Linked DNA regions of Lonchura striata. The protein of the gene in region 2 binds, or shares a complex with, the protein of the main gene of each other region. Links are inferred from orthologs where the notes say so. Each region holds a gene or a part of one and is shown on either strand. Other genes may lie near its edges.

What was found.
Region 1: PRPF8 (region 2) and SART1 share a complex: the UniProt entries of both Homo sapiens proteins name them as parts of the U4/U6-U5 tri-snRNP complex. The link is inferred for Lonchura striata from reciprocal best matches to the Homo sapiens genes PRPF8 and SART1.
Region 3: PRPF8 (region 2) and PPIH share a complex: the UniProt entries of both Homo sapiens proteins name them as parts of the U4/U6-U5 tri-snRNP complex. The link is inferred for Lonchura striata from reciprocal best matches to the Homo sapiens genes PRPF8 and PPIH.

The regions. Positions count from the first base shown.
Region 1 is NC_134638.1:688,512-696,293, forward strand, and holds the start of SART1 (U4/U6.U5 tri-snRNP-associated protein 1), read right to left. Parts: upstream 3,159-7,782; coding exon 2,849-3,158; intron 2,386-2,848; coding exon 2,334-2,385; intron 2,255-2,333; coding exon 2,199-2,254; intron 1,395-2,198; coding exon 1,268-1,394; intron 94-1,267; coding exon 1-93. Other genes in the region: amino acid transporter heavy chain SLC3A2, read left to right, coding at 4,343-4,790, 5,847-6,023, 6,406-6,500, 6,584-6,652, 6,812-6,876, 7,536-7,725. UniProt on the Homo sapiens protein: Plays a role in mRNA splicing as a component of the U4/U6-U5 tri-snRNP, one of the building blocks of the spliceosome. May also bind to DNA.
Region 2 is NC_134622.1:6,931,855-6,939,351, reverse strand, and holds the start of PRPF8 (pre-mRNA-processing-splicing factor 8), read left to right. Parts: upstream 1-4,156; 5' UTR 4,157-4,226; intron 4,227-4,343; 5' UTR 4,344-4,353; coding exon 4,354-4,453; intron 4,454-4,526; coding exon 4,527-4,695; intron 4,696-5,402; coding exon 5,403-5,567; intron 5,568-5,648; coding exon 5,649-5,867; intron 5,868-6,500; coding exon 6,501-6,713; intron 6,714-6,827; coding exon 6,828-6,953; intron 6,954-7,031; coding exon 7,032-7,137; intron 7,138-7,497. Other genes in the region: TLCD2 (TLC domain-containing protein 2), read left to right, coding at 1,148-1,513. UniProt on the Homo sapiens protein: Plays a role in pre-mRNA splicing as core component of precatalytic, catalytic and postcatalytic spliceosomal complexes, both of the predominant U2-type spliceosome and the minor U12-type spliceosome.
Region 3 is NC_134626.1:8,516,704-8,524,784, reverse strand, and holds the start of PPIH (peptidyl-prolyl cis-trans isomerase H), read left to right. Parts: upstream 1-4,923; 5' UTR 4,924-5,076; coding exon 5,077-5,142; intron 5,143-5,483; coding exon 5,484-5,548; intron 5,549-6,152; coding exon 6,153-6,176; intron 6,177-6,666; coding exon 6,667-6,711; intron 6,712-7,121; coding exon 7,122-7,164; intron 7,165-8,081. UniProt on the Homo sapiens protein: PPIase that catalyzes the cis-trans isomerization of proline imidic peptide bonds in oligopeptides and may therefore assist protein folding. Participates in pre-mRNA splicing.

The sequences.
Region 1 (7,782 bases), on a different chromosome or scaffold from region 2:
AGCTCCTTCTCCCTCTGGAGCGCCCGGCTGCGCTCGATCCACGCGGCCGCATCGTCCAGCCAGGGTTCCTCCTCCCCCAGCGTCTTCACCTTCCTTTTTTGGGGCAAAAAAGGGATATTTTGGGGTTCCCAAAACGGCCTGAACCCCCAAAAATCCTCCTGGATCTCTTCTCTGCATCCCAGCGATTCCAGATTTTTCTCAATACTCCTAAAAACCTTTTCTTGCATCTAAAAATTCTACCCCAAATTCTTTTTTGTGCTCCTCACAATCTCCTAAAATATTCCCTGTGCCCTAAAATCTCCTCCCAGATGCTCTCCAAATTTTTCATATGCCCCAAAATCCCATCCTGGCCCCCCAAAATTCCCCCTGAAAATCCCAAATCCCCCCAAACCCTCCCGGGAATTCCCAGTTCCTCCCCAAACCCCCCAAATCCCCTCCCAGCTCCCCCAAAACTCTCCTAAACACCTCCCAAACCCCCCAATTCCTCCCAAATTCCTCTCATCCCCCCCCAAAACCCACAAACACCCCCAAATCCTCCCTAAACACTCCCAAATCTCCCCAAAACACCCAAATTCCTCCCAAATTCCTCTCAGCCCTGCCAAAATCCCCAATAACACCCCCAATTCCTCCTAAATTCCCCCCAAAATCCCTCCATACGCTCTCCCAGGCCCCTTACACCCCCCAATTCTTTCTCAAACCCTCCCAAATTCCTCTCAGCACCCCAAAAACCCCCAAATCCTCCCAGTTCCTCCTCAAATGCCCTTCAGCCCCCCCAGTTCCACCCCAAACACCCCCAAATCCCCCCAATTCCACCCCAAATGCCCCCTAAACCCCCCCAATTCCTCCCCAAACCCCCCAAAATCCTCCCCATATTCCCCCAAATCCTCCCCAATCCCCCCAAATCCTCCCTAAACCCCCCCAATCCCCACAAATCCTCCCCAAACCCCCCCAATTCCTCCCCAATCCCCCCAAATCCTCCCCAAACCCCCCCAATTCCTCCCCATATTCCCCCAATTCCTCCCCAAACCCCCCCAAATCCTCCCCAAACCTCCCCAAATCCTCCCCAAACCTCCCCAATTCCTCCCCATATTCCCCCAATTCCTCCCCAATCCCCCCAAATCCTCCCCAAATCCTCCCCAAATTCCCCCAATTCCTCCCCATATTCCCCCAATTCCTCCCCAAACCCCCCAAAATCCTCCCCAAATCCTCCCTAAACCCCCCAAATCCTCCCCAAACCCCCTCAATTCCTCCCCAATCCCCCCCGTACCCCAGTTTCTGGTTCAGCAGCCGTTTCTCCTTGGCCGCCGCCAGCTTCTCACGGATCTCCTCGCGCTGCCGCAGCGCCAGGGGATTGATCAGCTCGGCTGCCACCGGCTCCTCCTTGGTGCCCGCCTCTGCCCAGGCAGCGCCCCAAAACCGGCCCCAAAATCAGTGAAATCAACCCCAAAACCAGCCCCAAAATCAGCCCCAAACATCAGTGAAATCAGCCCCAAAACCGGCCCCAAAATCGGTGAAATCAGCCCCAAAATCAGCCCCAAACATCAGTGAAATCGGCCCCAAAATCAGCCCCAGGGCACCCCACAATCCACCCCAAAATCAACCCCGTAATCCACCCAAAAATCGGTGAAATCAGCCCCAAAATCGGTGAAATTGACCCCAAAATCAGCCCTGGGCAGTGCCCCAAAATCAGTCCCAGGCACCTCACAATCCACCCCAAAATCAGCCCCATAATCCACCCCAAAATCAGTGAAATTGGCCCCAAAATCAGCCCCGGGCAGCGCCCCAAAATCAGTCCCAGGCACCTCACAATCCACCCCAAAATCAGCCCCATAATCCACCCCAAAATCAGTGAAATTGGCCCCAAAATCAGTGAAATTGGCCCCAAAATCAGCCCCGGGCAGCACCCCAAAATCAGTCCCAGGCACTTCACAATCCACCCCAAAATCAGCCCCATAATCCACCCCAAAACCAAGGAAATCAACCCCAAAATCAACCTCAAAACCAGCCCTGGGGCACCCCAAAATCCATCCCAAATCACCCCCCAGCAGCACCTCAGAATCAGCCCCAAATCGTCCTCGGGGCACTCCACAATCACCCGAAAATCACCTCTGGGCAGCGCCCCAAAATCACTGAAATCGGCCCCAAAACCAGCCCCAAGCACCCCAAAAATCCCCCAAATTTCCCCAAAATCCCCTCACCTTTCTTGGCCGGGCCGGTCTCCAGCGGTTTCAGTCCCAGTTTGGCCCGGAGCTTACTGGGAACAGGGAAAGGGCTCAGGGGAGGTTTGGGGTGGGGGGACCCCAATTTTGGGGGATTTGGGGTGGGGTCCTCACTTGGTTTCTTCCACGCTCAGGGAGGATTCGCCTGCTGCGGGTTTAGGAGGGGCTGGAGAGGATAATTAATAAATTATTAGTAATTAATTAGAATTAGGGGAGCGGTTGTAACACTCAAAACCCCAAAATTCCCACTGAATACCCCAAAGTTCTCTTTAATCTCTCCAAAATCCCCTTTAACGCCCCAAATTTCACCTTTAACCCCCCAAAATCCCTCTGGGGTCTCTCTCATCCAAAGCTGCCCCCCCCAAACCCCCAAAATCACCCCCAGCTGCAACAACCCCCCCTCAAAATCCCACTAATTGCACCCCAAAACCTCCTCCAACCCCCGCAAATCCTCCAGCACCCCAAATCTTTGCTGTGCCCCTGAAACCCCCCCCAAAATCACCTCCAGCACCCCCGAGCCCCTCCCGACACCCCAAAATCCCCCCAAACTCCCCCTCAAATCCCTCCCCAAACCCCAAATTCCTCCCCAAAACTTCCCAGCCCCCCCCAACCTTTCCCCCCGCCCTCACCGGGCTCCTCCCGCTCCTCCTTCCTCTCCCTCTTCGCTCTCCGCTCGCTCTCGGTGCCGCCCCGGCCATGGCCGCTCCTCCCGCTCTCCTCGGCTCCTCCGCGCCGGGAGGAACCGGAGCCTCCCCCGGAGCCCCCGCGCTCGCCCCGGGAGCGGCTGCGCTTCCCGCGCCGCTCCCCGCCGCGGTGCCGGTGCTTGCGGTGCTCGCGGGGCCGCCCCGCGCTGCCGCCGCCGCCCGTCCCGGCCGCTCCCGGGGTCTCCTCGGCCGCCTCGGCCCCGCCGCGCTCCCGGTGCTTCTTCGAGGCGCCCATGGCCGCGCCGCCACTTCCGGGAGACAGCGGCACTTCCGGTGGTTGCCATGGAGACGCTTCCGGTGTTTGGCTACTTCCTGCGGAGCGCGGTGCTGATTGGCCGAGGTTTAGGCGGGACTTGAGGGGGCGCTGTGGGATGAACCATTATGCGCGCGGAGGGGTGGGCAGAATGAGCAGGATGGTTGTGACGCCGTCCTGTCCCCCCACAAAGGGCTGAAGATCTCCGTAAGAGGCACCGAGGATCTCCCGACTCGGTTCCCAGTGAGGAGACCCCGTGCGGTCTGCCCGATGAGGGGGCTCCGTAAATAGCGCACCCCCGGGGCACAGCAAAATGGCTGCGCCTAGCAGCGCTGAATAGAGACTTTGACAACAGCAAAATGGCGGCTGCTTGGGGTGTGGCAAAATGGCGGCGCATGGGGGGTACCCCGAAAAGGACGGGGGCGTAGAGAACCCTCCGGGAGAAGAAAAAGGCACGAGCCCCATAAGTGGCGTTCCGCTGAGCGGTGGCGCAAACCAGAGACTCCAAAACGCGCCCTCCGGGGCTCTGTCCCGCCCCGTTCGCCCCGGGGCGTGTCCGGCCCCCCCCGCCTCGTGCTCTTTGATCCGCCCGGGCCGGGCGCCGCGGCGGCGCCAGGGGGCGTGGTCAGTGAAAGTGGGCGTGGTTTGCCGGGGTATAAAAGGCTGCGCCGAGCCTCCCCCCCTCAGCCCCGTCACGAGGCATCGGCGAAGGTGCCGCCTGCTCTGAGGGGGCTCGAGCTCGGCGGGGCGCTTCTGGGGGGCGCAAAAGCCTCTTTGAGGATTTTGGGGTGTGCGGGAAGGGCTCGAGATCCCCCCCAAGGGCGGATTTGCTCGTTCAGGGACTCGTTGAGGTGCGGCCGCGAGGCCTGGAAAGATCTTGGGGCGTTCTGGGGCCTCTGTGAGGCTTTTGAGGTCCCTGGGGTGAGGGGTGTTAGATACTCAAGAGGAGCTTGAAACCCGCGCTAAGAGGATTTTAGGGTGCTACCGAGGAGGTTTTGGGGTGCGGGGAGCACCTTTGGATCTCTTTAAGACGCTTTCCCCACGGTGGGGGGGGATAAAGTCGGGGTTCAGAGGCCGTTCGTGGGGTGAGAGTTCAACCCCGCCCCGAAGCCTTTTGGGGCTCGGGGTTTTTCTGAACATTTCGGGGTGTTTTATTTCCCCCCCAGATGGAGCCCGAGGCGGCACCCCGCGAGCTGGAGCTGTCGGCGCTGGAGGCCGAGACGGAGCCGATGGCGGCGGCCGAGCCCGCGACCCCCGCGCAGCCTCCCCCAGCCCCGGAGCAGCTGCCGGGCGTGGAGAAGAACGGCCTGAAGATGAAGATCCCCCCCGAGGAGGAAGAAGAGGCTCCTTTAGGGGGTTCGGCGCCTTCGGGGAGCCCCAAATTCACGGGGCTGGGCAAGGAGGAGCTGCTGAGGGAAGCGGGGACGCCGCTCTGGGCCCGGGCCCGCCTGGTGCTGCTCGTGCTCTTCTGGGGGGGCTGGATCGGGATGTTGGGGGCCGCCGCTGCCATCGTGGCGCAAGCGCCCCGCTGCCAGCCCCTGCCCACCAAAGCCTGGTGGGAGCTCGGGGCGCTCTACAGGGCTCCCCCCAAGGCTTTTGGAGGTGATCTGAAAGGTGAGGGGGGGGTTTTGGGGAGGTCTCCTGGGAGTTTGGGGGGTGGGAGGGTCCCAGAGGATGGCTGGGGGAATTTGGGGGGATCCCTTGGGGGGGGTCCCATGAGGTGTTTGGGGGCGGTTTAGAGAGTAATTTGGGGGGTGGGAGGGTCCCAGAGGATGGCTGGGGGAATTTGGGGGGATCCCATGGGGGGGGTTTAGAGAGTAATTTTGGGGGTGGGAGGGTCCCAGAGGATGGCTGGAGGAATTTGGGGGGGGTCGGGGTCCTTTTGGGGGGTGGGAGGGTCCCAGAGGATGGCTAGGGAAATATGGGGGGATCCCATGGGGGGTTTGGGGGGGTTTAGAGAGTAATTTTGGGGGTGGGAGGGTCCCAGAGGATGGCTGGGGGAATTTGGGGGGGGTCCCATGAGGGGTTTGGGGGGGTTTAGAAAGTAATTTTGGGGGTGGGAGAGGGTCGAAGGGTCCTAGGGGATGGCAGAAGGAATTTGGGGGGTGTTCTCTGGGGGGCTTAGGAAGTTTGGGGGATCCCTAGAGGTGAGTTGGGGGTGTTTAGGGAGTCTCCAGCCTGGTTCTGGGGAGGTTCGGAGGGTTGGGGGCATCCCCAGGAAGGTTTGGGGGTCTCCTGGGAGCCTGTGAGGGGGGGGGAACACCCCATTTAATAAACCCCTAAAATGAATTAAAGAATATTTTGTGGGGGGAGTCGTTTCAGTGCCCCCCCAGCATGTGTCAGGGTGATTTACCAAAAAGAACCCACAGGATCAGATTGGGGACCCCCATTTCAGGACCCCCCCACCCATAAAAGAGCCTGGGGACAAGTGACTCAGCAACTTGGGGGGTTCCTCCACTTTAGGGGAGTCCCACGATCTCTGGGAATTGCTCAAAGCCTGAGCGGGCCCCCAAATTTTGGGGATTTTGGAGTTTCCTCCAATTTTGGGGTGATCTTGGGATCCTGGGAGGACGTTTTAGGACCCAGGGGCTGGTTTTGGGGTCTAGGTGGGATTTTGGGGTTGTGTTGTCGGGTCAGATTTGGGGTTCACCCCTTTTTCCTCCTCTCCAGGTGTGGAGAAACGTTTGGGGTACCTGAAGGAGAAGCTGCAGGTGGGGGGGCTGGTGCTGGGCCCCGTGTACCCCCAAAAATCCCCCGAGGCCAAAATCCCCCCCCTGAAGGAGCTGGACCCCACCCTGGGCACCATGCAGGACTTCAGCGCCCTGGTGCATGCAGCCAAGGACAAAGGTGAGCTGGGGGCACCCCAAAATTGGGGGGGACGACCCCAAAACTGGGGGCGGGGGGACACTGGGAGGAACCCCAGAATTTGGGGGAAATGTTGGATACGGGGCGGGGAAAAATGGAGAGCTTGAATTTGGGGGAGGGGCAGCAGAGAATTGAAGGGGAAGACCCCCAAAATTTGAGGGGCACAAAATTGATGGGGGGGGACACCCCCAAAATTGGGGGTGGGGGGGGAATGCAGTGGGAGCCTCAGTTTGGGGGTTCCCATGGTTGGCTGTTTAGCAAGGCAGAAGGAGCCCCCAAAAAAGGGGGATCCCCCATAGTGGGGGGGGGGGTCTGTGATGCTGGGGGGGTTTTGGGGTGCCCTGACCCCCCCATTTTCACCCAGGGGTGAAGGTGATCCTGGACCTGACCCCAAACCCCGCCGGGAATCCGGTGTGGGGGGACGCAGCCCAAGACTCTGAGGTGCACCAGCAGGTCCAGGTGGGTCTGGGGGGGCTGTGGGGTGGGGGTGGGGGGCTTGGGGGTGTGGGGGACCCCCCTGAACCCCCCCTGTGCCCCCCCAGGCCGCCCTGAGCCATTGGCTGAAGGAGGACATTGCTGGGATCTTCCTGGATGGCATCGAGGAGCTCCCGGTGAGGGGGCTGGGGGGGATTTGGGGGAGTTTGGGGTGGAATTGGGGGTTTGGGGTAGAATTTTGGGGGTTTGGGGGTTTGGGGTAGAATTTTGGGGGTTTGGGGTAGAATTTTGGGGGGTCTTTAGGATCTCTGGTGACCCCCGCTGTGTCCCCCCAGAACTTGGTGGTGGCCCAGTGGAGGAACCTGACGGAGCAGCAGCCGAGCCCCAGCGGTGTGGACAGGTGCGACCCCCCAAAAAACGTCCCTGTGTCACCCCAATGTCCCCCCAAACTCACTGACCCCAAAATGTGTCCCCTGTGTCACCCCCAAACTCACTGACTCCCCCCCAAACCTCTCCTCCTCTCACTCTTTGCCTCATGGGTTTCTTCCTTGTATTTTGGGGTGCTGGGAGTGCTCCCCTGACCTTCCCGCCCCCATTTTTGGGGTGATTTTCTGACCTTTTGCCCCTATTTTTGGGGTGCTTCCCTGGCCTTTTCTAGGTCAGGAAAAGGTTGTTTTTTGGTTGTTGCTCTGATCTTCATTTTTGAGGTGCTCCCTTGACCTTCCCCCACATTTTTGGGGTTCTCCTGTGATTCATCCTCCCTGTTTTCCAGGTGTCCCCCTGCTCTTTCCCTCCTCATTTTTGGGGTGCTCCCCTGACTTTTCCCCCCTGATTTTTAGGGGTACTCACCTGACTTTTTCCTATTCATTTTTGGGGTGCTTCCCTGCCTTTTCCCCCCTGATTTTTGGGGTACTTACCTGTTTCCTCTTCATTTTTTGGCGTCTCCTCTGATCTTTTGCTCCTCATTTTCAGGGCTCTCCCCTGACTTTTCCCCCTGATTTTCAGGGCTCTCCCCTGACTCATCCCCCCCATTTTTGGGGTGCCCCTGTCTGTTTTTAGGGTGCTGGTGGGGGGCACGCGCCTGCAGGACCCCTGGGAGGTGCCGCGGGGCCCGGGGATGCCGCAGCTGCTGCTGGGACCCTTCCTGCAGCCCCTGGAGCCCAAGGGCGACTCCAAGGCCCCCGAGGACGTTGTGAGGAACCTCCTCAACTTCCTCAGCTCCAACTCCTCCGTGGGGCTGGGCTGGAGCGTGAGTGCTGCCCCCCAAAACCTCCCCGGGACCCCCCAGATCCCTCCAGGAGCCCCA
Region 2 (7,497 bases):
AGCAGTGACCCCGCTGTCCCCTCTGGCAAAGGTGAGCAGCTCACCTCCTGTGGCTTTTGCCCTCTTGAGCACCTGCCAGCAAGGGCTGCACACCCCTTCATCCACCTCCCCTGCCCAGGGTGCTTTCCTCCCACCTGGGGCTACTGTGGCTGGAGCAGCTGTGCTGCAGGAGCCCCACTTCAGTGCCCTCTGCCTGTCTTGCTGTGCCCTGTGTGGGTTTCTCTCTGGTCACCTCTGCTGTCCACGTGCCAGAGTGTTTTTCCCAACCGAAACAATTCCGTGGTGCTGAGACTGTGGATGCTGCAGGGCAGGGGGGTGGCACGGCCTGGAGCTGAGCTCCATGAGATGCTGCAGGGTTCAGGGGAGGCTCAGGGGTGTGCAGGGCCTGGGGATGGGGACAGGGACAGTGCTGGCACTCACCTGAGATGAGACTGGGTAGTCAAACCTCTCTGTCAGTGAGCCCTGGGGCTCTGCTGGCTGCTGCTGGTGAGCCAAAAGTTCACCTCCACAATGGAGCTAATTCAAGCCAAGACAGTGATTTAACGAGCCGATAATCTCATTACAGAGCCCATACAGAGAACAGCACTAATGGCATAAACCAAAGAAAGGACTGAGTGTGCTGAAGCGTGGGCAGGCCAGCCTGTCCCCCTGCCTGGCAGGGAGGGTGCGGGGCAGGAATCCTGTCCCAAACAGCCCCAGGGTGCTTCAGGGGGCTCTCTGATACACCAAAGCCACCTAATCCCTGCAGGGTGCCTGTCCTGGGGACAATCCCTGAGCCAGCAGTGGCGTAGCCCTGGGCTACAGTCTCCCTTCCTGTCCGTTCACTGTGTGTGGAAAAACCTGCTGAGCCACAACAACGTTCTCCAGGCCACAACAGCAGGGTTAGGTCAGGCTGCTTTGTCTCCTCAGCCAGCCTGGGGCTTAAAGAGCTGCTTCCTTCTCTTCTCACTGCAACAAAAAAACCCCACTCAGGTTTCATGCAACGGTGAGGGAAGTGCCAGAGGCTGCAATGCTGCAGGGGTGGCCCGTGGTTTGATGATCCTTTCCACCTCAGCTCCTTGCTGTGCCCTAGTGTGGAGGGTTCCAGCTTGCAGCAGCTGAGAGCAACCAGCCCCTGGGCTCAGCCTCTCTTCTCCCTCCTTCCCAGGTGATCATCTGCTTTGGGATTGCCGTGCTGCTCCACCAGTACGTCGGCTTTGCCCTCGTGGCTTTACTGGTGGAGATCAACTCCATCTTCCTCCACCTGCGGCAGATCATGCTCATGGCCAACCTGGTGCACACCACCTGCTACCGCCTCAACAGCCTCATCAACTTGGGCACCTACGTGGTGTTCCGCATCGCCACGCTGGCCTGGATGAGCCGCTGGCTCTTCCTCAACCGGCAGAACGTGCCCCCGGCCACCTACGCCGTGGGCACGGTGGGCATGGCAATCATGACGCCCATGAACGTCATCCTCTTCTACCGCCTGCTGCGGAGTGACTTCCTCAAATCCAGGAGGGAGAAGGAGGAATAGGCCCTCCCCTGAGAAGGGGCACTTCCAAACCCGTGGAAGCACGTGGAGGGTGAATGTTTTGGTACCTCGCAGGGAGGGGCTGCACTAACAGAGCATCCAGGCTTTGCTTGTGGCTCAAGAGCCTGGGCCCTGCACAGCAGAGGAGGTGCTCGTGGACCAGGCACGGTGGCTCTGCTCCCCAGACGCTTTTGGATGATGTGGTTGGACAAGCGGGAGCTGCTGAGAGAAGCCTCGACAGCTCTCACAGCTCCCTGAGGCACCACTGAGATGAGACGGGGGCAGAGCAGCACTGTTTCCCCACTGCTCTTCCAGACATCCCAACACCACCGAGTGTTTCCAACCCCTTTGGTGCTGCAGCGTCCCATCAGCCACGGGACACTGAGTTCTCCGTGCCATCTCCTGTGGGAACACCACCAGCAAGACAGGTTCCAAGGCTTTGCCTTCAAGGTGATGGTCAGTAAAAAACAAACCTTGCACTGATGAGCCCTCCCTGAGGAGATTTCCCAGGCTGAGACCTGGCTGGGTGGCAGCTGCCCACTGTGGGGGCAGCCCCAACCTCTCCTGGCAACTGGAGCTTTTCCATCATGTTTTGTCCCCAGATAATTCAAGTGCCCATAAATGAGCGTGGGAGAGCACGAGTGGCTGGAAGGAGGATGCTGTGTGATGGTCACTTCTCACACATGAGGGGTTTTCAGGCACTTTTTAAGATTCAGGCATCTGTTAGGAGTGCCAAGTTGTGCTGCAGAGCCCGGGGTAATGCTCTCACTTGACAGCAAAGGCTCTTACTAACATGAGCTTTTAATAAATGGCTGCAAATGAAGTGGCTTGAGGGGAAAGGACTGAGAGGGGACACGAGGACTCATCATCCCAGCCCAATCTGGGGGTGTCACTGCTTAGCCCAGTCCTTACCCCCAGTCTCCCTGCCATGGAGTGAAAATACACTGTACACTGGCACACTCTACCTCTCTTGTTGGGTTTTTTCCCCACCCCTCTCCTTTCTGTGGAGGAAAATGAAGGTTTTTAAACATTCTTCCACTCCACATTTCCTCACTGATTCTCACACTGGACTGTTCCCCAGCAGCCCAGCACTGTGTATATAACAGGATCATCCTACTTGGAGTTAAGGTGAAGCAGTCTGGAGAAATCCACCGGCTCAGTCACCTTTTCTTTTGTGTGGCGGATAAGCTTTAACACAAAATCTCTCCCTTGGTTTGAAGACCCTGGGGACAGGCTGGAGCAAGGCACTGCTCGGAGAGGGTGGCACATGTTTTGAGGACAGAGACAGGGAAAGATGAGGGATCCATGGGCAGTGTGAGGCTGGAGGCTAAAGCCGCTTACGTTTCTATTTGTGGAGGGCAGGGAAGCTTCCAGGTGCTGGGCACAATTACTCCAGGTTTGGGTACGTAACCTCAAGCAGTGCTGAGGCACCTGTGTGCCACTCACAGCTCCCAGCTGGAGCAAAACTGTCACCCAAGGCTTTCTCTTTGCTTTGACCCACGTATTCCGAATTTTCCAGGAGCTGCTGCACAGGTAACAACGCTGCCTCTGCTCTCCAGCCCACAGTCGGGAGGCTTCTCAAGGCCTGGATTGTGTTCCCACATTCCTGCCGTCACATGGATGTGGGGCTGGGGGCCAGGGCAGCCTGGTTTGGGCACCTCTTAATCCACCGTGGTTTTCCCACAGGGCTAAGGGGGAAAAAGCAGCGGCTTTGCAGGTCACCCAGGTCGGACGTGGGGATGCCCTGTGCCTGCCCATCCCGATGGGAAGTGCCAGAGCTTCGCTTTGAAAGGTTTTGGGAAGGACTCACCACTCTGTTCCCACCGTATAGGGGTGGGAATACCACCACCACGGGGTTAGAAGGAGCATCTCCATCAGGGAATTAATTGCTGGGGAGTAACACCCCGGCTTGCCACCCAATCACCCCCCGAACAAACCCCTCTCCCCATGGGAGCTTCCACCCTGGCAAAACCCTGAGGCAAGAGCTCGCCTGGCTGCTGAGGGGCCCTGAGAACACATTGAACCCACCCACAGTGAGCTGCTGGGCAAACACTGAGGGTCGGGGGCCATCTGTGTTCCTGTGGAGAGGCAGGAAGGGGACAACGAGTGGGTGGCTGCTTGCTGGGGCCATGGTGTAGCCATGGGGGCAGTGCATCACTGGGGAGCGGCATCCCCCTGCCTGCCTGGGGCACGGGGGCGTGACTGAGACGGGCTCAGCCGAACTGAGGGGATGTCCAGGCCCCGTGGGGGATGTCCCCACGCAGCTCCACCGCGGACATCACCGGGATGTGTCCGAAATGTCCAAAATGTCGCCCTGAGGGCGCCCCCCGCCCCTACCATCACTGGCGGGGGGGGGGCACGACCCGGCCAGGGGCGCCCCCTAAAGCAGCGCGGAGTGAGCTACGCCAGGCGCTGTCCAATCAGAGGCGCTGCCGCGCTGTCTCCGCCAATCGGAAGCAGCGAAGGGCGGGACCGGGGAAAGCGGGACACCACAACGGAAATGTGCGCCAGACACCGCTTGCTCCCCTCTTCCGCCCTCAGTGCCTCCCCCGCCGCTCCGCGCTCTGATAGGATAAACCTGCTGTCTGTCAGATCTCCTAAAAATTGACTGGCTGTTCCGCGCCGCGAGTCCCGCCCACATCCGGGTCTCGCAGGCGCGGTGGCGGCGGCGCGGGGCCGCCATTGTGGTGGGGGAGCGCGGGGGTCGCGGCTGCCGGTGAGGGCAGCGGAGCGGCGGGCCCGGGGTGCGCGGGAGCGGCGGGGGAGCGACCGGCGGCGGCCCCGTCGTGGTCCCGTACCTCGCACTGAGCCCCTCTCCATCTTCTCTGCGCAGTTGCGTCGCCATGGCCGCCGTGTTCCCGTACCGCGGCGGCTGCGCCCCGGTGCCCAACCCGCTGGCGCCGCTGCCCGACTACATGTCCGAGGAGAAGCTGCAGGAGAAAGGTGGGTACGGCCCCGGCGGCCCAGAGCCTCCGCGGGGGACAGGGCCTGAGCCGCCGCCTCTGTGTCCCCGCAGCCCGCAAGTGGCAGCAGCTGCAGGCCAAGCGCTACGCGGAGAAGAGGAAATTCGGCTTCGTGGATGCGCAGAAGGAGGACATGCCCCCCGAGCATGTCCGCAAAATCATCCGCGACCACGGCGACATGACCAATAGGAAGTTCCGTCACGACAAGCGAGTCTACCTGGGGTAAGGGACCCCCGGTGTGGGGCACAGGGGGATCTGCTGCTGCCCTGGAGGGAGAGATCCTTCTCCAAAAGGCTTTTTGTGAACATTGTAACTCAGTGAGGATGCCCTGAGGTGTCAGTGCAGAAGAGGATCAGCAAAAGGAGTTGTTGCCTTGAGTTTATGAGAAAAAACATTAGCCTGGATAATGCATCATTGAAGGGGAAGCCCCTTCTCCAAAAGGCTTTTCAGCTTTTCAGTTGTAGCTCAATCTGTTGCTGTGAGGTATCAGTGCAAAGGAGCGTCAGCAAAGGGAATTGTTGCTCTGAATTTATGAGAAAAAACATGACCCTGCATAACTGAGTGTCTTAGAAGGAGTTGGGGAGAGTGTGGAATGTTTTTTTAAAGATTAAAAAGCATCCTGAGTGCTGTTTGGGGGTAGAGAGCTGTCTAGTGCACATCATGGTCTGCTGCAATAAGTTACAATTACCTAAAAAACTCTATGAACTAACTTAAAAACTTCAGTTTCTGTTAGCAACATTCTTGAAAGCCAAATCACTAAAAAACCTTTTGATAATCCAAAGGTAGAGTGGGAGATCCATGGATTTGCTTTTTGAACAGGTCAGATGAGCAGTTCCTAGGGAAAACTGGGAGGTTGTTGGGCTCGTGGCAGGTGGTTGGCTGTCCTTGAGAGCCACTCCAGCGTGGTTTTCCCTGGTTTGTGGTTGCAGTGCTCTGAAGTACATGCCCCATGCTGTACTGAAGCTCCTGGAGAACATGCCCATGCCCTGGGAGCAGATCCGGGACGTTCCCGTCCTGTACCACATCACGGGCGCCATCTCCTTTGTCAACGAGATCCCCTGGGTCATCGAACCTGTCTACATTGCCCAGTGGGGGTAGGTGCCTTCTGCTTCTTTCACCTTTTTGCACCCACCATAAAATCCCCCTGCTTTTAACCTACCCCTGATTTCCTGCAGCTCCATGTGGATTATGATGAGGCGGGAGAAGAGGGACAGGCGCCACTTCAAGAGGATGAGATTCCCCCCGTTTGACGATGAAGAACCCCCTCTGGATTATGCTGATAACATCCTGGATGTGGAGCCCCTGGAAGCCATTCAGCTGGAGCTGGATCCAGAGGAGGATGCCCCTGTGCTGGACTGGTTCTATGACCACCAGCCTCTGAAGGACAACAGGAAGTAAGTGGCTGTGGAGGGGGAGAAAAACAAAAAACAAACAGTGCATGAATGACGTGCACAGAGCAGTGTGTAACCTTTGTGTGATGTTGGTGAGGAGAGAAAAACCTTCCCTCAAGGATGGGAGGGAAAAGCTGAGTGTTGGAAAGCTGCATCTTTTGCCTGCAGGTTGCTCAGAAGTCCAAAGCCAGGTTGGGTGGGGCTCCGAGCAGCCTGGGATGGTGGAAGGCTTGGAAAAAGATGAGGTTTAAGGTTCCTTCCAAGCAAAACCAAATCCATTCTGGGATTCTATGGTTCAGGATCCAGCAAGGCTCCTCTATCCAGGAGGCCTGTTACCCACTTACTTCCTAAAACTGGTGTTTCTGACCATGTTGTAAAGCTGACAGCCTGCATTGTGTAGCTGGAATTTGGAATTTGCTAAAGGTGCCCAGATGTTCTGTGTCACTTGAGACACAGGAGAAGAGGAACTGGAGCAGCCAGCATTTTCTGGGCAGGAGGAGTCTAGAGTGGTCTTTAATAGTGCTGCAGCCTTTTTTTCAGGCTAGAGACACGCAGATATCTGTTCTTGATGAAGGATGGGTGGCAGAAGGTGTTTGGTTATTCTGTGTGTGGAGTGTCCATGCTCTGCTTTCCCAGGTACGTCAACGGCTCCACGTACCAGCGCTGGCAGTTCACCCTCCCCATGATGTCCACACTGTACCGCCTGGCCAACCAGCTGCTCACTGACCTGGTGGATGACAACTACTTCTACCTGTTTGACCTGAAAGCCTTCTTCACCTCCAAGGCACTGAACATGGCCATTCCTGGAGGTCCCAAGTTTGAGCCCCTCGTCAGGGACATCAATCTTCAGTAAGTGTTGGTTTTGGGAGAGAGATGAGTGGTTGTCTAGGAGAGGGCTGATGGGGTGTTTTCTGTCTCTCTCACCCTGAATGCCTGCATAACAGTTTCTTGTCTCGTTTTAAGGGATGAAGACTGGAATGAATTTAATGACATCAACAAAATCATCATCAGGCAGCCTATCAGGACAGAGTACAAAATTGCTTTCCCCTACCTGTACAACAACCTGCCCCACCATGTCCACCTCACCTGGTAAGAGCAGCAGCCTCCAGAGCCAGGAGAGGAGGGAAAGGCTGTCAGAGGTTCTAATGCATATTTATTTTTTTGCAGGTATCATACTCCAAATGTTGTTTTCATTAAAACAGAAGATCCTGACCTCCCAGCTTTTTACTTTGATCCTCTGATCAACCCCATTTCACACAGACATTCTGTCAAGGTGAGTCACTGGGTTAACTGTGATAAACCCTATGAGTGGAAGTAGGGGCCTTTAGTATCTTCTGATAGCAGCAAACAAACAGATGTTTCAGAAGGCAGCAGCCCTTTGACAAAATAATCCACAGTTGTCATTTTAGTCTTCCACTTCTGGAGTTGCACAAAGTTGTCTCCTTTGGTTTCTGTAGGATAAAGCTCAATGTTTAATTAATAGTGTTTGAGTCTTCTGACAGATAATTTACCTTCATGGTTGCCCTTGGTGTATTCATGGAGCTGGCACCTCCCTGAAGTTACCTCCATAACACCGAACTCAGGGTCTGGTAGCCACAGTTTGCCTTGTTGAGTGCTTTTTGCTTCTCTCATG
Region 3 (8,081 bases), on a different chromosome or scaffold from region 2:
CAGGTAGATGGCTGGACAGATGGAGAGAGCAGGGACAGCCAGGCCAAAGGGAAGGATGGTGAGATGGATTGACATAGGATAGGTGGGAGAGTGGACAGATGCTAAGTTGCCTGGATGGATGGACAGAGAGAAGGACAAAAGGACAGATGAATGGATGGACAGATGGCTGAGTACTGATGGACATCTGTGACAATGGGTGTCCCTCAGGGGCCTGTACTGGCACCAGTGCTATTCAAGGCTTCATCAATGAAACAGACAATGGGATCAAGTGCACCCTCAGCACACTGGCAGAGGACACCAACCTGAGCAGTGTGGGTGACACGCCTAGAGAACAGATCCATCCAGAGGGACTTGAACAGGCTCAATCAGTGGGCTGACAGGAACTTTATGAGGTTCAACAAGACCAAGTGCAGGTGCTGCACATGGGCCATTGTAACACTCAGTATCAATACAGGCTGTGGGATAAAGAGATTGAGAGTAGCCCTGCCAAAAAGGATGTGGGATGCTGGTGAGAGGCTAGACATAAGCTGTCCATGTGCACTGGCAGCCCAAAAACTAACTGTGTCCTGGGCTGATCCCCATAGCATGGGCAGCAGGTGAGAGGGGGTTCTACCCCTCTTCTTTGCTCAGACAGGACCCCACCTGCAGTGCAGCCTCCAGCTCTGGGTTCTCCAGCATAGCAAGGATGTGGACCTGCAGTCCAAAGGCCATGGAACTGCTCTGAGAAGCTCTGCTCTGGTGACAGACAAAGAGCCAGGGATGTTCAGCCCAGAGAAGGCTCTAGGGAGATCTTAGAGCCCGTTCCAGTGCCTAAAGGGGCTCCAGAAGAGCAGGAGAGGGACTTGGGACAAGCTGGTGTGACAGGAAAAGGGAGAATAGCATCATACTGATATCTATCAGGGTTAGATGGGACACTGGGAAGAAATTCTTCCCTGTGGAGGTGGTGAAGCACTGACATGGCTTGCCTATAGAAGCTGTGGAGCTGAGAATGTGTCACTTTTACTCAAGAGCATCCCTGAACCAGCCTTGGAACTTGATGCCAACTTGCCTCACTGGCAGTCTAGAGAGCTGCCTTCCAATCAGCTCTACCAGCAGGACATTGCCAAGGTATTACTGTGCGTTTCGCTTTTCTTTTTCAGGAACCATGTTCCACACCCGGAGACAAGCCTGTACCAGGAGTGCTGTGATGATTCCCACTAGCTGTCCAGGTCAGAGACATGCAGGTAAGGCACCACAGAGGAGACAGCACCATGGAGGACACACTGCCTGTCACTTCTCTTGCAGGAACTGGGTTTAACAGCAGGAGGGAGCCAGGGCACAAGGGCTCATAAAATCAAAAAATGCATCAAAAAGCAGCAAGTGAAGAGAAAAATGTGCAGATTATCAAGCCAAGATAGTGCTTTTACGTAACATCTGCCAGCACAATTGCAGTGAAAAGCATTGGGAGGTCAGGGAGTGGCTGAGTTCAGTGCCCAGCAGAGAGCCCAAGAAGACAGGAGAAGACAGAGGAGATTAAAAAGATGGAAAGTGGAAACTGAGGCCACTCATAGTGTGCAGGCCCTGGAGAAAGACACTGTTGGTTGAGCAGATTATGAGGAAGAGTAGTAACCTGGCTTGTATTGCAAGTTTTACATGATTTGCAAAGGTGTTTTTTGATGTCATGTGTACCTGAGAAGGTAAGAGGACAAGACACAAAGAATTTGTTTATGCAGATGCAATACATGTAGCTAAATAATAATTTATCTTGGTATTTCTGTAGTAAAGTATCTTTCCCTTTCTCAGAGGCTGCTGAAGAAGTGACTTTTACACAGGTCACCAGAGCATGACTGGTGCCAAGGAAGATCTCTGCACTTGGATGCTCATCTGGACCGTGCTCCAGCTCACATCCCCTACTCCCAACACCTTTCTCACTGGACTAGGTTGCTAGAGGGCACAGCAGTCCCAAGCACTGGCAGTGGAGCTTGAAGCTTTTCTCATTTTGGAGTGAGCTTCTAAGCAAGCTTAGGAGCTGGTGCTTTATACTTTCTGTGATAAAAAATGCCTAAATGTTTGTCTTGGTTTTGCCTAAGAAACTGATTTCTGGGATACCTGAGAAATAGGGCAGAAGGTATATGAACTGCAGCTTGTGTGAGACACTGCAGAATCATCTTCAAGGTGAAGTGTTGTCTTTTTTAATCAAACTCCACTGCCCAATTCTGCCAGGAAACCAATTTCTTCACCAAAAGGAGTAGCAAGAGTGGAAACCCACCTGCTTAACCAAACACCCATGTTAATGGGGACTGTTAGTGTCCATGTTTGCAGTCACTTGGTTTCCCTGTCTCTCTTGCAGAGACATCTCTCCCTGGATGTTGCATTTGGGAGAACAGGACTCACACACAGGGGAGCTGAGCCTCTGATCCAGGAGCCCTGGAGACACTGTTCCTGAGAATACTTTTTCCTTGAGATCGCTGCATGCAATACAGGTGTAAAAGCTCCCACCTTCCTGCATCACAGGCGAGTGTTCATATAGGAAGCCTTGAGTTAAACAAATTTTTAAAAACCCTGTCTGTTGTTTCTTGCATGTCTCTTTCTGAGTAGTTTTTCACCTTCAGGAAACAGTAACAGACCCAAACTCTCTATAGGACAATCAGAAACACCAGATGGGACTGGGTTTGGTTTGATGGTTTTATTGTTTCAATCATAAATGTCAGGTTTAATGGTCAACATTCTTCTGAGATATCTGCAGCCTTTAATGGTCACTGGCAGGTTATGCTGGGAAGCTTAGTGACCAGTACTGAACAGATCCATACAGAAGCCATATGCACTTGAAATGATTGTCAAGGAGTGAGGCAACTGTTGCTATGTTGCCACTTTTTAGTTCTCCTCTCTTGATGATGAATGAAGAAAAGTTCCCTTTCTTCATTCTTGCACCATCCTTCCCTGAACTTCTGCCATCAGGAAGCTCTTTCTGTCCCTGTGGGAACAGCTGAGCAGGTTCTCATGGTCATTTCCCAGCTGGTGGTGAGGGTGCCCTGCTTTTCCTGGGGGATAGAATGTCTGGCTGACTTCTATTCAAGTTCTCCCCCTTCTCAGTGTGTGTGGGCTTTTTACACCTCCTTGATTTCTTGCAGACTCCTTGAGGCTTCAGCCCTGTTGTTTTCTGGCACATTTGACATGACATGCAGAAGACTGAAACAGCACAAGGCTTTGGAAAATAGACCACATTTTTCCAGACATGTCTGGCCCTTTCAGGCAGTGACTCATCTTTACACTCTCAGATGTCCATTTTGCCTCTTTTCACAGCTGGCCCTTCTCAGAGAGCATGCATCTGGCAATTTACACAAGCCCAGTTCAGTGCCAGACAGCAAGGGAGAAGAAATGGCCTGTCAACTGCAAGACAGAAAGAACTTACCTGGACAAACAGCCATTCTCTCCTATGACAAAAAGCAAAACCCATCAGAGAAGACAGCAACAGGATCAGTAACACAAGAGAGAGTATATTCTGAATATCCTTTCACACTTGCTCCTACCTGGCATAGAAAACTAAGTATGTATTTTGGCAGAGAGAAGTCTTGAGGCATCATTCATCTTGTACCACTGCCCATCCCTGGCCTGCAAAAAAAGGTATTTTCAGATGAACTGCAGTGGTTTTTAAAGCAAAACCACAGCTAGGACGCACTGAAGGACACAATCCACCAATGCAAATCACTGAGTAGATTTTCACCCTCAGGAAACAGTAACAGACTCAAAAATAATCTTTAGAGTCATTAGGAAATGCCCTGAGGAAACTGTGTCACCAATCACAGGCTGAAGGTATAGAAATAGATCACCTTTGTTCACCAAAAGCAGGCATTGCCATTTTGGCATTTCAGTGGCAGAAAAGTGCTCTGCACCAACCCATTTCTGTACATGCCAAGTCAGGGCTGATCTTCACCCTGGAGCCTTCTCTTGCCACAAGGAAAGGGCAAGGCCCAGCTACAGCACTGGTTGTGACAGCTGCACTCAGCCATTGAGTGTATACATGACTATTCCCAAATCAGGATTCTCATCCAGGAGAGGTCTCTTTCCAAGCAGAAAAGTTGCAGTGCACTTGTTTACATACCTTGCTCATCTTTCTGCCACAGAAAGCATGACTTCTGCTCAAGCACACTCAGGACATTGAAGGATGTCCTGTAAACTTCTCAAAGGCAGTGTTCAGATGATCAAACCTTGAAAACAAGCACAGACCTAACTGTTGCAATCATAGAATTAGTGGCAAAGATCCTGAAGATTGAGACCAATTTCTCCCCCACCACTGCCAAGGTCACCACTAAACCATGTCCCCAAGTGCCACATCTACACAGCTTTTAAACCCTTTCAGGGATGGGGACTCCAGCACTATTCTGGACAGTCTGTGCCAGGGCTGGACGAGCCTTTCCAGAAATTCTTACGGATGTGCAACCTGAACTTCCTCTGCAACAACTTGAGGCCAGTCCCTCTTGTCCTGTCCTTTGTTGCCTAGGAGCAGAGCCTGACCCTCACATGACTACATCCTTGTGCCAGGGAGTTGTGGATAGCGAAAAAGTCCCCTCAAGCCTCCTTTTCTCCAGGCTGAGTACTCCCAGCTCTCTCAGCTGCTCCTTGTACTTCAGACCCTTCCCCAGTTCCATTCTCTTCTCTGGACATACTCCTGCCCTGCAATGTTTTTCTTGTAGTGAAGCTCCAAGAACTGACCCCAGGACTAGAGGCACATCACTACAGGTGGGTGGTCACTGCCCTGGTTCCACTGGCCACACTGTGGCTGGTACAGCCCACGTGCCATTGGCCTCCTTGCCCACCTGGGCACAACTGGGCTCATGTTCAGCCGGCGTGTGCCCAGGGGGACAGGGAGTTGAACAGCAGGCCTTCCCAGCCGAGCAGTGGTCTACTCTGGGGAGTCCGAGCTGTCCCAGCAGGATGGAGCTCCGGACGCCACCCCGATACCGCAGACACAGTCTGGACACACCGAACACATCCCAGACATCCCGGAGAACCTCACCCCCACAGCCCCGCCCTGTCTCTCCTTCCGTCCCCGTTTCCACTTCCGCCGCCGTTTCCGCTTCCGGCAGTGGTACTGCGATGTCGGCTCTGGCGGCGAATCCAAACAACCCCGTGGTTTTCTTCGATGTAACCATCGGCGGGCAGGTGGGGATGCTCCAGGACGGAGTGGCGGCGCCCGCGGAGGGACTGCGGGGATAACTAGGGATGTCGGAGTCTTGTGGGGATGAGAGAGCGCAGGAGGTGCGGGGGCTCAATGTGGGGCTTGCGGGGCCGCAGCTGGAAGCTCTGGGAGGGGCGGTGCCAGGAGACGGATAGCGGGCCTGTGGGGAAGGGCTCACAGGGGAGAGGAGAAGCACTACGTTAGGAGGGACGGGCATGAATGGGGGTGAATAAGGTGACCGGATCTGTGGGAGTATTCGGGGTCGGGCGGCAGGCGTCTTTTTGTGAAGGGACCTGGAAGACTCACCTAGCCCCCGTCTGCTTAGGATGTTGGCCGCATGAAGATCGAGCTGTTCGCAGATGTCGTACCCAAAACAGCAGAGAACTTCAGGTAATGAGCAGCTACTGTTCCTGCAGCTCAGCCGGGACTGGAACTGCAAAGGCTTTCTGGTGCAGGAATGGCTTTTGGTAGCAAACTGATTAGCTAACTCCCACCCCAAACTGCTTCACCTGCTTTGTGTCTCTCTGTTCTCAGAGATGCTGTGTGGCATCCTGGGCTCTCAGGGGACCCTGTCTGGCTGGAAGGGGTCCTCCTCTGCCCTCCTCTCTGAAGCCTTCTGATTTGCTCCATGCATTTAGAGCAGACAGTGCCTTGTGTCATGGTGGAGGTCTCCTGGTCATCCTGTTTTCCTGCCATCAAATGAGGAATGCACCATGTGAAATCCCACTTCCATTGGAAGGATGGACATACCCTGCTCTCTATCAAACACACTGTCTGCCCCATATTCACAGTGTCTTACAACCTTGGTGTTAACTCTCTGACCTCCTCACGACAAAAAGCACAGAATATGTTTTGAAATGGCAGGGGGAAGGAATTGCCAAATCCTGTTTCTCTGGGAACATCTCTGACACAATAAGGAAAATCCTGTGCACCAGTTTGTGTAGCCCTCAGAGTTCACATGCACCTAACACTCTGCTCTCTTTTTGTTTGCCAGGCAGTTTTGTACAGGTGAATTCAGGTAAGTGGATTATAATGTCCTTTAAGTGTCCCACTGAGAAACAGGGCTGGGTGAGGTAGAAAGGGTTTGTCTTGAACTTTTTTATGTTGTACTAGTACAAAATGGAAGAGAAACCTGCTCTGAGGAAGTTGTGAGGGGCTTGGAGACTCACAGAGATGGCAGGTTTCGCTTTCTGATATTACTTTTTTTGTGCCCACATGGCTCTATAAGCTCTATCTGCAAAGCCCACCTGCTTATGCTGCACATTGCAGTGGGATCCTGTGAAGGTGATGATGTGGGTGTTATAGGGAACAGAGTCATTCATGTGCAGAGCCCACTTGAGGCTTTTTTTTGCCTTCAACAGCAGCAGCTGAGAGGCTGCGGCACTTGTTTGTATTTCAAGGCAGCTGCTAATGTACACAGCAACCCTTTGGGACTCTGAATTGTTGGGACTATTTTGTGTTGGGATATCCGGTAGGTTGCAATAATTCTCCTTTTCACTGCCCTACAGGAAAGATGGTGTCCCTATAGGTTATAAAGGAAGCACTTTCCACAGGTAAATCGTAGACCGTTGTTTGCACACTAAATAGCAGCCTGAGCCATACAGAGTTTTGTGAGCTGCCTTAAGCTATTAGTGGTATTGGAGACATTTGCGGATCATGGCTAATGTAATTCTATGGCTTTGGGGGACCTGGGGATGCTGTCCTCCCCACTGGGAGGAATCCCCTGTTTCTGGTGTGCTATGTCAGATAAGGCATCTATCACACAATCACTATCTCTGTACAAAAGCAATGAGTCCTAAATGACCTCATATCAACAGTTAATATTTATTGTAGATTTTAGGCTGCAGCATTCACAAACTGTGTTAACTTCTGTTGCACAGCAAGGCAGAACCTCTTTTCATGTTACACTGAGCTTCTTGAGGCTTTTGGCCACTGGGAACTAAGTGTTGTTTTACTTCTTTAGGGTAATAAAGGATTTCATGATCCAAGGAGGTGACTTCGTAAATGTATGTACTCTGGTACTCTTTTTGTCCTTTTCCTCTATGGTATAACATGCTACAGTTTCCAAGGGTCTTTGCTGATTTGTGGGATCTCCTTCTTTTCTGAGGTATCCAGTAGTAGCTGGAGGTATGCTCATAGCATTGCTGCCATCCTACTGCAACAGACACTAAACCTCTTGAAAAGGAATCTGGAGCCTTGTGAACAGGCATTCTTCCCAAAATATTTTCTCTCTGCAGTAGCCTATCAAAACCCTGGAAGCTTTCAAAACTTGAAAAATTTTGTTTGCCCTGTTTTCCTTCCCCCTTCTGATGTCCTCCTCCAGACAAAAACCTCTGTGAATTTCAATTCATATTGTAGATAGACCCTAAATACAGAACCCAGTGCGTAATGTAAGAGGTCATTTAAATCAAAACTAACCTTTTGTTACTAAATTGTCTCAAAATAGAAAAGTCTTTGCACCCACAATGGTGGTTGTGCTCTGACACAGGGATAAGAATATATGAGTAAGGCTGAAGGGTCACGGTATCTTCATTGTTCTAGGATCCAGTAAAATTATTTTAATTTTGGAAGCATTTAAAAATATGAGGGAAATTATAAAGCTTTTTTAATAAACAGCTTGGTTGTATGAAAGTCTCTGAGAGAAATGACCACACAGCAGGCGGTTCAGCAACACCAGACTCTGTTGTAGTTGCTAGTTGTGACACTGCTCAGATGAACCAGTGCACTGTATTACTTGCACTGTATCTCAACAGACTTTACAGATTGCTCCAGTATTTGGAATTGATATATTGTATTTATTACAAAGCCACAGTCACACTGACCCCTGAGACAGGGTGCAAATTTCTGTCTCAGAGCCAAAAGTTTAAGTAAACTACAGAGAGCAGGAGGGAAACAAACAAGGGCTGGGCAAGTAGAGCAAAAG